Drosophila melanogaster: one gene and its partners. The protein of the gene in region 3 interacts with the protein of the main gene of each other region in a pairwise test. Each region holds a gene or a part of one and is shown on either strand. Other genes may lie near its edges.

Region 1 (4,228 bases), on a different chromosome or scaffold from region 3:
ATAAATAAAGCGCTATAATAAATTTCAATACATTTATCATAGTTAACTGATTAAGACCACTGAAATCAAAAATATTTTATTTACTAAGCAAAGCACACGCAAACAATTTATAATGTTTATTACGTTAACAACAAACTCATTTTTAATAATTCTTTATGAATACACAAAGTTACGCAATTTTCCCTCTAGGCGCATTGCTTAAATAGTTAAAGAAAAATAATAAACCCATAGCGCAATATTTAATGTAAAACAGTTTTCCTTGCGTGTGATGTTTGCTCTAGCTACGTACAAATTCATCATTTATTAAATTTAAAACTCAATTTTGCTTTTAAATAAATTTAATAAGTAAAATTCAACAATAATTGATATACAATTGTCAATGCAATATTTTGTAATAAAAATGCGAAAAATCAATATTAGTTTCACTGTTATTACGGAGCCTAAGGGTATACTAGATTCCTTGAAAACAGGTAAAAGGAAATGTTCCCAACAGCTTATTCAATCTGGCTCTGCCCTTTCGTTTGAATAAACTGATACGTCAAAATTCTTATAGAGTAAAAGGGTATATTAGATTCCTTGTTAAGTATATAACAGGCAGAAGGAAGCGTTTCCGACAATGTAAAGTATATTCTCGATCAGGATCAATGGCCGAGTCGATCTAGGTATGTCCGTCTGTCCGTATGAACGTCAAGATCTCAGGAACGATAAAAGCTAGAAGGTTGCTAGTCAGGGAAGTCGACTATAGCATTCTCTCTTGTTTTTAATCAATATTTTGCCATTTTTGATCAATTTTTATCAAACAGCGTGGCAGTTTTTTGCGGTTTTAGGGCTATAGAATGGGCGGGTCAAAAAGTTGTTTGGCAAATCGACAGAAATTTTTAAGACTAATAAAAATATGAATAAATATCAAAACATTTTTCAAAAGTTTGATTATTATCCTCGTTTTTCTCGATGTTTATGTAGGCACGCTCCATATCTGCTTTTAATCAAAACATTGAACAACACAAAAAATGTAACAGTAACTATGTTTGGGATAGAATGATTGATAAATGAGTGCTTGCAACAGGTCCTGAAATTTATAGACTGAACGGTTACCCGATATATATATATATATGTATGTATATGTTGTTAGTTATTCATTGGTTACAAATTAATTTATTTTATTGTATTGCTTATATAAAGACATGAGTTTATAATTTAATGGTGGATACAGATTTTTTCTAATTTAAAGTAGCAACCGAAAGTTACAACAAAACTAGTATGTGTAATCTATACATCCCACATTAGTAGTACAGAATAATTTAGTAATAATATATATACATACTTTATAATGGTACGAATTAATCCATTTGAAAATTTGTATGTTACAACTTTAGAACATTTGTTTGCCCAAAAATAAGGATTCATATTTTTAAATAAAATTCTTATAAAGGAATGTGTTTAGATGGTTAGAAAGAGCCACCACTATCTTAGAATATGTTGCTAAAGTTTCAGCGTTGCAAGCTTATTTCAGAACGTTGCCTCAATCATACTAACGCCCACAACTGTCACTGCTACAGTTTTGGAAAAGGTTTTGATTTTATCATTTGTCTTGCACATTGTATCGATGTGCCAAAAATATGATGAGGCCAAACATATACAATGGTCATATCCAATAGTCAGAAATTAATAAAAACAAACAAGTTTTTTAAAAATACCGCACATGCAATTAGTGCGCATAGTGACATCTGCAGTCGCTAAAAGAGACCCAAGTGTTAAAAGCTTACTCGACTAGAAGCTATAAATGGCGATTAATTCCTCTAAGGGAATACCCTCGATGTCCTTATGAAGGCAGTGGAGTAGCACAGAAAGGTAAACAGTACCTACGACTGATTTATTGAGATTTGTGGAAAAAGTACTACAGCCACACTGAAAACTCAACTCTGCTGTTAAACAGCTGAAGACAAGTAGACAGGCAGACAAACTCTAAAAATGAACGGAAAGTATGTAGTTAGCGCCATCCGAGCTCTCCGGTTGACCAATTTCAGCCAGTGCAAAGGAGCCGCTAGCAGTTTCACTGTGCGCCACTATGGTAAGCCGCGATAGCCAGAATAAAAACGTGTGTTGCCATTTCATAACATCCCGCGATCGGCGGTTCTTCTCCTGCAGCCTCTCCTCCCAAGCGATTCTACAAGAAGACTTCCGTACTGAGCGGCGACAGCGGCTATGAAGTGGTGTTGGATCACCGGAAACTGAAAACGCCCAAGGGCACACCCTTCATCGTCCGCAGCGAACCCCTGGCCATTGCTGTAGCCACTGAGTTCGACGCTCAGAAGGAAAACATCGAGCGTTCCCGCATGCACTTATCCGCGCTCTGCTTCACGGCCATTGACAATCCCAATCACCTCTCCAAGTTGGACATGGTCAACTACCTTCTCAACTTCATCGCCACAGACACGGTGCTCTTCCAGTACGATGTGAGTGAATCAACTGAGAATTAGAGTGCACATTCCACAGACATATATCTTTTGCAGGACGAAAAGGACCTGCAGGACCTTCAGGTGAATGAATGGGACCCGGTGATCGCCTGGTTCAACCAGCGCTACGACACAAACCTGCAGAAGACCATGAACATAACGCCGCCTCAGGTCAGCGAGCAGGATAAAATGAATGTCGCAAAGCATTTTCAGTCCTACAGTTTGGAAACTCTGCATGGTAATGCAGACCATAAGTCTGGAGTTCAACGTCTATTAAATATATTTTCCTCCAGGCTTCATTTTCGCTGTGGACACCTTAAAGTCGATTGTCCTTGCCTGCGCCGTCATCGAGCAGATGCTTACCGTGGAGAAGGCTGTGGCCCTGGCGCGTCTAGAGGAAGAATACCAACTTAAGTTCTGGGGTCGCGTGGAGTGGGCACATGATTTAAGCCAACAGGAGTTGCAAGCACGCCTGGCGGCTGCCGTGCTCTTCGTACACCTTAACTGTTCGGAAAACCTTGTTAAGCAAAAGATAATTCTTTAAAATTAAAATACCTGTTCAACATACATATGAGCTGACTACCACAGGGTTATGGTAGCACGTATGTAGGTCTCCTAGGACCTAGGACATAATAATAGATGTATATAAATCGTGCCTAGTTTGAAACTTATCAAGGTCAGGTCATCCTCCCTTTTTTTTTAGCTCTTACCGGTTTTTTTTTGTTGTAATAATACGGTTTATATTATCATTTTTTCATACTTTCTTTAAGCACGAAAGTAACATACTCTTTTGACGTCTCTTATAACACAACTGAATTTTAGTTCTGATTTTAATTAGTAAGCCACAAGGATTCTGGTACAGCAATACGTGGAGGCAGTGAACATAAGGAAGTACATTAAGTTTTTTGGAACTACACATGTACAAATGTGTAGGATATATGTAACATTTTTAAATTTGAATGAGATTACTAAATTTTAGAAATATTTAGTTTGTTTAATCCTAATTTAAGGTTCGGTTTTTTTGCACCTTGACATAGAACCCTATTTTTGGAACCCATTGGCAAAACATGGACATTTATTTATCTTACTTAAGAAAAAATTAAGTGCTAGTGTAATAGGCGCTTAGAGGAAGTCTCAAAAAACAAAAATAATTAAGCAATTTTTTTTCGTAGGTGTGGTATATTCTGATAAATACTTGCTTGGTATTTTAAAATAGTTACGGTACAGTCCTACTGTACACTGCGGTCACACTGGTTCGGACGTGGGTGGCGCATCATCGGTGGTATTCTGTTGCTAATTAATCAAGTGCAAAACTACATTTTTCGCCAGTAAATCCGAGGAAAGCTAAGTTTGCAAGAAAACAAACGAAAGCAAAGGCAGTTGATAATATTACTGGCGCGTTTGGTAAGCAGCGTCGTTCGAGTGCGTGATTGTTCCAATGTTTGTGCTGGTGTGCGTTTGTGAGTGCCTTTTCACTAAAAAAAAATGTAAAAAAAAGTGTTGCCAAAGCAGTGAGGCATACATTTTCCCAGTCGCTTTGTTTCAAACGAACGAGATTTGCAAAATGCGATTTATAGACCAGAAAACAAATCTGTATCGTTGCGCTGGGGATATTTATCATTTGAACCATCCCTTTTCACTGTTCTCGGTAGAGGGGATGTGAAAAAACCAGCGACTACATCAACAAAAGCGTGTGTGTGAATATAACAATCTCGTTGTTCCCTAGTTTAGTTGCTAAGAAGCATTTTAATAATTGTGAAATCCCAGTACCG
Region 2 (5,582 bases), on a different chromosome or scaffold from region 3:
GCCCATTGTTGAATGCTGTGCATTTTGCATTTTAAATACAATATAAATTAAGTTGGCAGCTTCTGGCATTGAGAACAGTTTTCGGCAAAGCTGCTGAATGAATGAATGGCAGCCCTTTTATCAAGATTCTCAAGTTAATTTTGCTGAAGGATAAGAAGTTCGGGGAAAATGGGCGGGGAAATCGAGGAAAAACTGACATTGAAGACGAATTGTTCGCTCGGAATGAAGTGGAATTTTATTCCGGTGGGTGGAAAACTTTCCTTGACGATTGAATAAAACGCTGAACTGTTGGGAGAACTCAAAAGCACAATACTATTTTAAAATAGTATTACCAAAGATGTTGGATACCATAAATGAGTTAAGCACAAACTCCATTTGTTTATAAAAATATAATGTGCAAATATGATTTCCAATTTATTTATCCATAAATAATGAAAACATTTAAACATAATATTTGAATCTTATAAATTGTCTCTTTAAATATTAAGTTCGTAAATATATTTGAACGATCATTTACAAAATTAATTTTCTTCGTATAGTTTTGGAGTCACACAAAACATCGGCGAGAAATTTCTCGCATGCGATAAACAGTAAATATTGCACTGCTTGAAGCAGTGCTTCGCAAACTTGCGGCGCCTCTCAAACTGCTATTGTTGTGCTCTCTCCCTGAAAATTTTCTCTCTTTGAATTTTCCATTCTGTTTTTCATTTGCGGACCTGCGCTTTTCATTTGCCGGCATTTCTGGAGCAACAACAAAATTCCAGCGCTGAGTTTTCCCCCTGCCATGCCCCCCTTTTCGTATTTATATATTTAGCTCTCATTAAATATTTTCAACTAGAGCGAAAGATACTTCCGTTTCCTGTTTTATAAAAATAGTACTTGCCATATATAAATATACATATTTACTATGTATATAAATATTTGTAACTATATATGAGGTAAATACTTACTTGACTTAATATAACTAACTAGAAAATAATTCAAACTCCTTATCAAATTCAAAGTAAAATTTGGGAAAATCTACCATTTAGTTCTTCTATATATTATTATATATAAGATTATACTAAAAGTTCACTTTTCCGAGCGCTCACTGTAGGGTGTTTTTGTAGTGGGCCTAAAAATAGGAGACGCCACCACTCGTGAAAATTCTTGAAGAGCAGTTTGGGAAATTCCTTACCGAAAAGTTATATATGGCCGAAAAGAGATTTGCCTTGCGCCATTGTTTAGTGAATTGAATTTTGGTTCAGTGTGTATTTGTTTTTGGAAAAACAAGGTGAAATTGCTTTTGAAGTGCGGTTGCTTCTTGTTTTTCTTTCGCTTCCCTCGAAAAGATTTTCATTTGCCGATTGCCTCATTGGATTTTGAGGTATTAAAGTTTTCGAGAGGGGAATTAGTATCGCATTATTTGGATGTTTCTGGTGCGGAATGCAAATTGATTTTCAATAGTTTTTCGACATTTTCCAGCTCGCCAGAGGAGGCGGCTTTCCACCCAAATTGGCAATTATCATCGGGTGGCGGAATTTGTGGGTGCGAAATGCAAATCAATGGGCAAATCTAATTCAATTTGAGTTCCTATAATCAACTGCTGTGAATGTGAAATGAAAGGCAGACGAAGTTCACTCGTCACTTGATTCAACGTCGTTTATTAATTTGATTTATATGACTTAATGATTAACCAAATATTTATCATATTGAAAAAGATTGACCATTTCGATTAAAAACAAAGATACAACTATATTATCTTTGTAATAATATTTCGATGCTGTTTATATAGCCACGTGTAAATACGATATGTTATCAAGAAATTTATTAATAGATATAAAATCGAGTTTGGCGCCAAATTAAATTTTGAATTTCCAGCCGCTCTCTTCTCGAGTGTGACCGCGCTGCCGACAAATGCCGCGAAACGGTGCAAATTCGGCCTTATCGGCCGCTAAGCAGCTGGCCACACTGCGGCATATAAACAATTTTTTGTCACAATTTTTTTGAGAGCAGACGAACGCACATCGAACGCCAATTGGGGATCGTAAAGTCGGAAAAACAGCGTCGCGCTCGCTTCGAAATAGAAAAAAAACACAATAAACATTAGGTCAAAATCGCATTGGCAATCTTTTAAGTTTCGATTTGATTTAATTTCGCGGTGCAAAGCGAAAGAGAATTTTGAAACGTTTGATTTTTGTTGTTTCGCCGCTCTCTTCGTTGTTGTTCTTTTTGTTGTTTTTTCCGGCGCGTCGTTTGGCGTTTTTAGTGTATGCGTGCGTGTGTGTGCGTAACTACGTGCAGCTGTGTGCGTGCTTCAGTTTGATTTAAATAAATTATTAGTGAAAAGCAGCTGAGAAGAGTAAAGAATACGAAAAAGTGCAAGTAAACGCAATAAAAATATTGCACATTAAATAATCAACAAGTGTAAGTGCAAAGCAAGTGATGTGCAAAATGCAAGAGCAGAGAAAAGAAAATAAAAGCAGAGAAAATGCAGAAAGGAAAATTGTTGTAACTTTTTAACAGCCCAATATCGAATTTAAGTGGCTATTAAAAATCGAAGATCGAGGCAAAGTGCAAAAGGCAACAAAACTACGAAAGCGCCCAAAAGGAAAATCCGGTTTTACAACTTCTCTCTTCACACACTAAACACACACATACAAAACACTCACACTCACACCAGCGAACAATCGAATTCTCTCTGAGAAACTAAAACTAAAATTCCTTTGCTGGGTTTTAATGAATTTTCTATGGGAATTTCACCAGCTAACGAGCAGCTAAAAAAATAATAATCGTAGATAAACAAATAGTGTGAATGAAAAATCAGCTGCGACAGGTGATGCAAAACAAAATACGCAAGGTGCAAAGAAAAAAAATACTTTCATGTGAATTCGATCACAGTGAACGCTCAGTAAAGAAGGAAGCTATTATCTGATCATATCATTATATTATTTAATTTAGAAAACAACTTTTAAAAATTACTTTAGATAATTAACTCATATGCTCATATCATTTGAAGTGCTAGAAAGTTTAAATAAATAGTTATCCATTTTAAAGCTCCACTGTATCTCAAGTATTTAAAAAACCATCCAGAAAAGTGAAATCAATAACAAAAGAATTTGAAAAAAGCGGAAAGAGCGGTCATAAAAATAGTATAAACAGAAAATAACAATAAACCAGTCAAAAAAATAAGCAGTTACCTGTCTCACTCTCTCTTTCCTTAATTCAAACATTTGCGTAAACAATAACCGCTTTACAGTAATTTCGGGCACCTGCTTTTTGTTTACACAAATGCATAAATATGTTGAATATGAATAAATTAATTCATTCAGCGTGTACGGGGCACGCTGCCTCGCTAAATGGAATTTTCACACGAAAAGTGGGAAATATGTGAAGAAAATATAGCGCCAACTTGTGTTATCTTATCCGTAACACAATTTTAATGATGGTGCAATTGAAAAAAATAGCAGAGAAATGTGCTACAATTGCTTCCTTATCAAAAAAGGTATTACCTGCCGGAAAGAGATAGTGGTAGTAGTGATAGGCGGGGAAAGAAAGAGATGGGTGTACGGTGTAGGAAATTACATATTTCATTATTTCCTCGCCCGATTTTTCCGACCAAATATTTTTATCTACTTACAATGTTGTCTAGACAGATTCCTTCGCTTTTCTTCCGTTTTTTTGTTGTGCCACCCATTTGTATATGTATGTACATAGATGTGTATAGGAAAAGTCTGGTAGTGGTGTGTATACTGCGAGATTTCGCACCCTCTCCTAGGATTTTCCTCTGCCGCCGCCTTTACTGCTTTTTGTTGTGCTCCAGACTTCAGTTTACTCCACTTTGCGACGACTTTCGACCCCCCCCCACACCCACAGCAGTGGCAGGCCCTTTTGTGAAGCACCCCCCTTTGCAGCATCCAGCAACCCCCAAAACGCATTCTCTGCTCCCTTTTATTGCCTTTCCTTGTTGTTTTCGGACAGTGGTGCTTGCCTAATTGAAACTAAGGCTGTCATAAGAAAAGAAGTCAAGACAAAAACTACACTTAGTTTATTCTGGGATTACCCAGCTATTAAACACAAATTGAAATATTGTGTAATTATAAACAACAGGACATTTTTCGAGATTCCAAATTCTTTGTTTACTGTAGAGCATCAGCTGTTATAGTCAGCTGACTCAACCGAAATGCACAGTGTGACCATGCTGAGCAACTAAAATAAAAAATTTTTGGAATCCCCGTCAGTTTACCATGTAGTTTACTAAAAATTCCTTAGATAATTGCATACTGTGGTGTTTGGCTTTGTGGGCGCCGTTTGCGCGCAATTTTAAATTTATGCGAACGTTCTGTCACCCTCTCTTTCTCCCTTCATATGCCCATCTCTTTCCCTTCTCCGGGATAAAGAAGTTTTGCCGAAACAACAAAAACAGCGGAGGATGACGACTCTTGTCCACCGTTTTGTTTGTGTTTTTGTCCATTGGTTTTTGCTGTCTGCCGCTGTTTTGCTTTTGTTGCTGCCATTGTCGTTGCAACGTCGGAAAGAGACGGAGCTACTGGGGAGCGACAAAGAGGGGTGCTGCAGACAGAGATAGCGAATTCCCAGTGAATTGTGAATTGCGTTCCATTAGCAGCAACCCCGAACACTTGTGCTTGTGGACTGTGCTGCATGGGCACAGTGGAATGGGTTGTATGACAATTGGAGGTATTACTGTGCACAATCGCAATATTTTCCCAATTTAATATTAGCAGATTGGCATTTAAAAAGGAATTTTTCTGTAGCTTAAACAAACCATTTCTGCACCTGATAGCTAATCCACCCCTAATTGCCCACTGTGCATCCCACTGTGCGACAGCTGCTGGTCAAAAGAGCTGATTGTTGTTGGTTTTGCCATTGCTGCTGTTTCGGTTTTTGTTGCCTTTTCTGTTTGTTGCTGCCTCCGTACTTCCTCCATCTCTGCCCCCCTTTCCTTCGTTCATTGAAATTTTCTTGCGGCGTTCGACAAATTTGTTGTTTAAAGTCGCGTGTGCTGGAAGTTGTTATTGGTATATTTTTGTTTTTTTTACGCTGCTGCTTTTACATAAACAATATTTTTTGTTGTACACAAAAGTTCTGCTTCCACCGTTTTTATCTGTGCGTTTTTTTCAGGATTTTTTTTCGCATTTAATTGGATTTGATTGCTTTTGGCTGGCGGCGGCGCCTCTCAAACGAAAAATCCATGAATCCGAGAGGCTTTTTTTTGTTGCTGCCGCAAATCGCATTAGTTTTTGTTACTATTTGGTTCCCAACGCTTTCCTTTCTGGTCTCACATTTATTTCGATTTTTTTTTTTTCGCAGCCCATTGTTTGGCTTTACAGGCGAAACTCCCTAAACCGGATGTTCCCATAACTTGAACTACATTTCTAGTACTAAATTGCAAAATTACCATTATCATTTAGGCATTTCTTGACTTCTTTCGGATCATTTAAGTATACTAGTTTAATAAAGGAATAATTAAAATAATAATCTACATTTTTTTGCGATACTTTAACATTGTGTGCTTTTATAAGATTTGTTTTAAATTTTTTTTTGCAAAGCCAGAGTTGCCCCAAAAATAAAAGTCGGGCCTC
Region 3 (6,011 bases):
GGTTTTTAGTTATATTCTTTATAGCTGAAGTGCTACTTTTTATTAGTGTAGTAGTATCATCGTGTTTTGTTCAGTGTATCAATTCGTGTTGTTGTTGGCGCTTTTGACGAACTGAACGCGTTGCTTGGGAGGTGTTACTCTATGGAGTGTGCACACACTCACACACACACACGCAATAAACCCCAGCAAAACACACTCTCCGAAACGGCCACTCGATGTGGAGTATGTGTGTGTGTGTGTGGTGTGTTTGTATCTGTGTGTGAGTGCGAGTGCAGTGTGCATTGCATTGCCAGACCGTCCGGCGCGCATAACGTCATCGCCACTTGGAATAGGGTCAGTGGCGTCTTCTGCGAAGGGGATTTCTTATAAAAAGGCACACAAAACAGGCTGCGCAGACGTAACATTTTCCCAAGAAAGTATGCAGTACTTTATAAAATGTGAGCAACGTAATACTATGACCATAAGATCCCATTTATTAGATGCAACAAGCTTTGGAAAATATTTCTAGCCCCCTTTTTTTGTGCCACGCCCCTGTTCGGCCATTCGAGTACGAATATTATCGCCCACGATTTTTGGTTTTTGTTGCTGCTCTACTGTTTGTTTTCGATACCCAGGCACACAGACGCACACACAAACACGCATTGAAGTACACAGGAGGGGGTACTTGAGTTCTATGGCTCGAAAAGTTCTATGGTCCGTCCGTGAAAGAAAGAAATATTCAAACAAATTTCATCAACTAACAATCGAACGTTAAGTTTCATTTGCTATGTAAATGTAAATCGATCGGTGATAAGTCGGATGTAGCTACTATTTGGAAAAGCTTATATACATTAGTATGTATATAAATTCTGAAGAAAACAGGTTAAGTATTTTTGGGTTACCATCCTCTGGGCGAATAAAATTATCCTTAAAAGTGTCCTTTGATATAATTGAATAATATAGAGTTAGTACTTTTAAATTGGCCACCTGCTGCAGTCATTAAAAATTGGTTCGAAAATATTTAATCTCATGGAACAGCAAATTTAACTCAAATGAAACCGAATCCTGCCTATGGCATTTGCGCTGATACAAAAGATGGATTATCCCGCGAATTCCTTGGATCTTTTGTCGACCCTTTCGGCCTGTCAGATGGCATATTCCTCAGGTGCCCGGCTGTCTGCAGATTTTATGTGAGTTTTTGGGGGATAAATCAAGTGAGGGGCGGCGGTGCAAGGGGGGGGGGGTCAGTTTGGAGATCTCCAGTCAAACTGTACTAAAGATAGAGCCGAACACGTTCCCAGTGCTGCCACACAGATACACACCAATACCAATGTAAGAAACAAAAAAAAAAAAAAAAACTACAAAAAAAAAATACAGGAAACGCGGACGCCAATGGAGAAAAAAAAACAGGGGCAGGGGCAGGGGCAGTGGACAGTGGACGGGGGATAAGTGCATATGTGGCCCCTGAAACTTAACACTTCTTTGGCTCCGGCTGCGAATATTAAAATACCCACTTAAGGCCAACAATAACAGCGGCAAGAAGCAGAGAAAATGTGAAAAGGAGGAGCTAGAATTGAACTCAAGTACTTTCGTCTCGCACTGAAAGAAAAAAATACATTTATGTATGAATATGAAAAAAAAAACTATCTTAATATCATAGTGCTATTTTATTTACATGAAATCTATAAACTAAAATAGCGACTCACTAAGCGTGAAAAATCGAAATAGATCTAAATAATATTATAGCCAGCATTTCTCGCAGTGCACAAACATGATCTGGCATTGGCGCCCGTGCGTCTGAATATGGAAATCGAAATGGGTCCGAGTATGGGTGCGTTGTATATGGAATGGGATGGGATGTGGATAGGAGGACACTTGAGTTTTAGGCCGGGCTTATCTGCATTCTAGGCGAAGGGAGGGGAAGCGAAAGGAAAGGAAACCACTCGACGGCGCACTTGAGAAGCGGGAGAAGCAAGCGGCAGTCTGCTGCATGGATATTAACTAATTGTCGGCCACAAAAATGCATGGGAAGGCGATCGCAACACGCCATTTAACACATTTGCACGCTTCCAAAGTGTTTCCTTTTCGAATTTGCTTTGTATATAGTGGTTTACTCTGGCGAGTGACGGGGGTATATGCATTTTATTTTTTAGTTTGGGTTTTCAATTTAAGCTTAAGATGTGAAAATCTATACTTATACTTGTCTATACTCATTATTTCCGATTAAGCTTTCTGCAAACGTTCGCTTACTTTCGGTTATACAATAAATAATGTTAAAAATCTGAATAGCCTTTTTTCTAGATGTAAAATGTAGAATATTTTGAATATTGCGCCAACAGTGTGACCCCTGCTAGAACGCAGAAATGTTTTTTTGCGAGTATGTGGCAACGTTGGTCGTAAGTTTTTCCCCATGCGCGAACGGTCTCACCGATTTCCTGTAATGCATCATCGATAATCTATCGATTGCTGAGTAGTGCAAAAAAAGTGGGCAAAAAAGGTGCAATGTTTAGCGTTTAAGTGCGTTAAGTTGCTTTTGCGGACGACAACAACAACACCAGCAGCATTGCCGGTCAAATTGATCTAATTGATTTTCGGGCAGTGCCAACAGCAACTAAAACCAAATTAATAAATGAATCCCTGCGCATACATAAACATATAAAAACACACACACACACACATACATTCGCATAAAGGACGCGAACCGAAAAGGGAAAAACAAACACAAAGGAAAAAAAAAGGAAAAAGGAGAGCGCAGCTTTTTCAGAAATTGGGTCATTTGTTGTTGTTGTTGTTGTTGTTGCTGCTGTTGCTGGTGATTTTCAAACGAATTTCATTTGTTGCTGTCGTCGTCGGTTCGGTGTTGTTGTTGTTGTTGCTGTTGTTGCAATGGTCGTGGACGTTGTTGTCGCTGACAGCTAAATGTTATGGCAACACTTGCAACCTGAATTCGTGTGGGTAAGTAGTGTTTGCATTTATGTTGAATTTATTTTAACTTATATACCTTATACTTAACTTATTTTTGTGCTTTTCGCCAAATAACTATTCATATTTGGCAAAAATTAATAGTGAGGAGCGGAAAGCGAAAGGATAATAGGGTAGCGGAGACGAAGCCTTATATTTCCACCAGAAAATCCTGGCACAATTTATGACAACTCTACACTTGTGTGTGTTTGTGTTGGTGAGTAACTTAACAACTATGACTTCTTTTTTTTTTTTTTGCTATGTTAAAAAAAAAATGTGATATTTCATTATTCAGTTTAGTTTGAAGTAATAGAAATTCAAAAGTATTTGTGCTATATTTTATTATTTACTCCCTAATAACCAATGCCTATTCCTTTCTATTCGCAGAGTGAGACAGCGGAGTAGCTTCTTCAAATCAAAGGATACCACTGCAGCAGCCATCCAGCCAGGAGCCTTAAAAAAGCTGTTCAGCTTGAGAAATCCGAAACGCAGACTATAGACAAATAATACCACCAGATTCATTCCGTGCACAATGAGCGTGGTGGGTAAGCAACTAAATCCGGTGCAATCCTCCGGTGCAGGCGCAGTGACAACGTCTTCCTCCGCGGCCGCAGGATCCTCTTCTTCGAACAGTGGAGTGGAGGCCAACGGCGGCAGTGGAGGATCGTCGGGAGCTGCAGCAGCGGGCGCTGGTGCCTCCGGTGATGCCAAACGGCCTGCGGAGTCTTCCAGCGTGACTCCCGACGAGGTGCTCCATCTGACCAAGATCACGGACGACTATCTCTGCTCCGCCAATGCAAATGTGTTCGAGATTGATTTCACGCGGTTCAAGATTCGCGACCTGGAGAGCGGCGCTGTGCTCTTCGAGATCGCCAAACCGCCGAGTGAACAATATCCGGAAGGACTGTCCTCGGATGAAACCATGCTGGCGGCTGCCGAGAAATTGTCACTGGATGACACTGCCGATCCAAATGCCGGACGCTATGTGCGCTATCAGTTCACACCGGCATTTCTCAACCTCAAAACAGTGGGAGCCACGTAGGTTATACAGTATTTGCATTTGTTTTAAATGCCTCTCAATTTGTAAGTTTCCCTTATTTGCAGTGTGGAATTCACTGTGGGCAGCCAGCCGCTTAATAATTTTCGTATGATCGAACGCCACTTCTTCCGCGATCGCCTGCTAAAGACGTTTGACTTTGAGTTCGGCTTTTGCTTTCCATTTTCGAAGAATACGGTTGAGCACATCTACGAGTTTCCTAACCTTCCACCCGACCTAGGTGAGCAATTTTTACATAATCCCAGCCAGCATGACACGCAATTGAAAGTTGCTGCCAAAAGTTGAAGGGGTTTGTGGGTCAAGGTCGTTTACGATTTGCGCCTGTGAGATGAGGCTTCTATTGGTCAGATTGCGAGCAGCTATCATGGTTTTTATTTTTTGTTATCGGTTTGTAGGATGTGGACTTATTAATGAAATGCAATTCACATAAATATGTTCGTTCGTTTTCCATTTTTTTTTAGTTGCTGAGATGATATCGAGCCCCTTTGAGACGCGCTCGGACAGCTTTTACTTTGTGGGAAACCGACTCGTCATGCACAACAAAGCCGACTACGCCTACGATGGCGGCAATATAGTCTAGAAACTCAACTATAATGGAACTGCAACTAGAGCAAAACTAATAACTAAAGAACTAGAAACTACAGAAGCTGTGAGACAAAATCAATGACTTGTCACACACACACACACACGAAACACCCACTCAATGTCAACAATCACACTCACAAACACATCGAATCGAATCGAGGAATATTATCACAGCCATTTTAGCCTTAGCACACCAAAGTTTTACCCACCATTCCTGTTTGATGTATTTAGCATCAAGATATGATCTCCTGCAAACGGAAACTAACACACAAACACAACAACAACACACTGAAGCACGCGGATTGTGTTCATTTATCAATGATTTCCACTTTGACTATATAATTTTAAGTGCTATGTGATTTCCCTTGATTTATATATGTATTTGTACACACTTATTTAATCCTAATAAGTAAGGACACTCCACACACACACCCAACAAGAAACAACAAATACATATATATAAAATACGTACGTATACACACACGCACACACAGAACTTATGAGAAGCGAATTGGAAATTTTCAAAAAAAAAAAATTGAGGAAAATCCATTTGCCGTCAATTTTTGTATGCAGCATACGAAATCATACGAAATCTATCAGCTTCTTCATGGCATTTTTTTCGTGTCTGTGTATGTATATTTTTTAAACAAAAACCAAATGGAAAAAGACGAACGTAACTGGAAATCCAAAAAAAAAAAAACACTAACGATTACACGCCGAACAAGAATGATAAATTAAATTACATTTTAAATGTACATACACCACTATAAATTGAAACTTTTCTAAGGGGGTTAAATCGAGGGCATTTCGTGCACTAAAGGTGCTTAAGAAATTTATTATATTCTGAAAAATCATCAAGTTCAGAACGCTTATATCAAAAAAAAAAATATATATATTGCTATCCCGCTCTTTTCGGTGAAGATTCTTGAAGATCTGCGTAGATCGTTGAAGAATGTCTTCTCGAGTTCTGAAGTGAAATTAATTTGAATTCCCGTTCCCAAGAAAAACAAAGCGTTCACTTTCCAATTTAGCTAAAGTCGATCTACGCGATTGACTTCTTTGTACATTTGGTTAAAATATCAAAATTTGGTCTACTCAGTTCTATTCAGGAACTCGCTGACTATTGTTAGAAACTCCTGCGGCTTTTCAAAGTGCACTAAATGTCCGGCATCCAGCCAGTGGATCTCAGAATTGGGAAACATTTTCTGTATCTGTGGCCATTGCTCGCGTCTAATAAAGATGGCAAAAAGATTCAATTAGTTTAGTTTACTTAGCACCTCGGGATCCAAGTTACCTCATGTAAGGTGATCGCGTGCCGCAAATGAACGTAGTGGGTCCCGTGTACGGCGGCAGTTCCTCCAAATTACTCTGATATTTGTCGAAGCGGGTGAGGAATTCACGAAGAACATGGGCATTGCAGGCCCAAGAG

Evidence for each region.
Region 1: the proteins of unc-119 (region 3) and l(2)k14505 interact in a two-hybrid assay, tested with the Drosophila melanogaster proteins (one large-scale study listed by BioGRID).
Region 2: the proteins of unc-119 (region 3) and CG32264 interact in a two-hybrid assay, tested with the Drosophila melanogaster proteins (one large-scale study listed by BioGRID).

The regions. Positions count from the first base shown.
Region 1 is NT_033779.5:21,259,264-21,263,491, forward strand, and holds l(2)k14505 (lethal (2) k14505), read left to right. Parts: upstream 1-1,904; 5' UTR 1,905-1,971; coding exon 1,972-2,071; intron 2,072-2,148; coding exon 2,149-2,456; intron 2,457-2,513; coding exon 2,514-2,694; intron 2,695-2,749; coding exon 2,750-3,000; 3' UTR 3,001-3,148; downstream 3,149-4,228.
Region 2 is NT_037436.4:3,784,381-3,789,962, reverse strand, and holds the start of CG32264 (uncharacterized protein), read left to right. Parts: upstream 1-2,002; 5' UTR 2,003-2,406; intron 2,407-5,582.
Region 3 is NC_004354.4:7,287,712-7,293,722, reverse strand, and holds unc-119 (unc-119), read left to right. Parts: upstream 1-2,424; 5' UTR 2,425-2,930; exon of another isoform or gene 2,931-2,934; intron 2,935-3,045; 5' UTR 3,046-3,157; intron 3,158-3,327; 5' UTR 3,328-3,472; coding exon 3,473-3,978; intron 3,979-4,044; coding exon 4,045-4,217; intron 4,218-4,458; coding exon 4,459-4,577; 3' UTR 4,578-5,356; downstream 5,357-6,011. Other genes in the region: CG2059 (uncharacterized protein), read right to left, coding at 5,674-5,812, 5,877-6,011. UniProt on the Drosophila melanogaster protein: Myristoyl-binding protein that acts as a cargo adapter: specifically binds the myristoyl moiety of a subset of N-terminally myristoylated proteins and is required for their localization.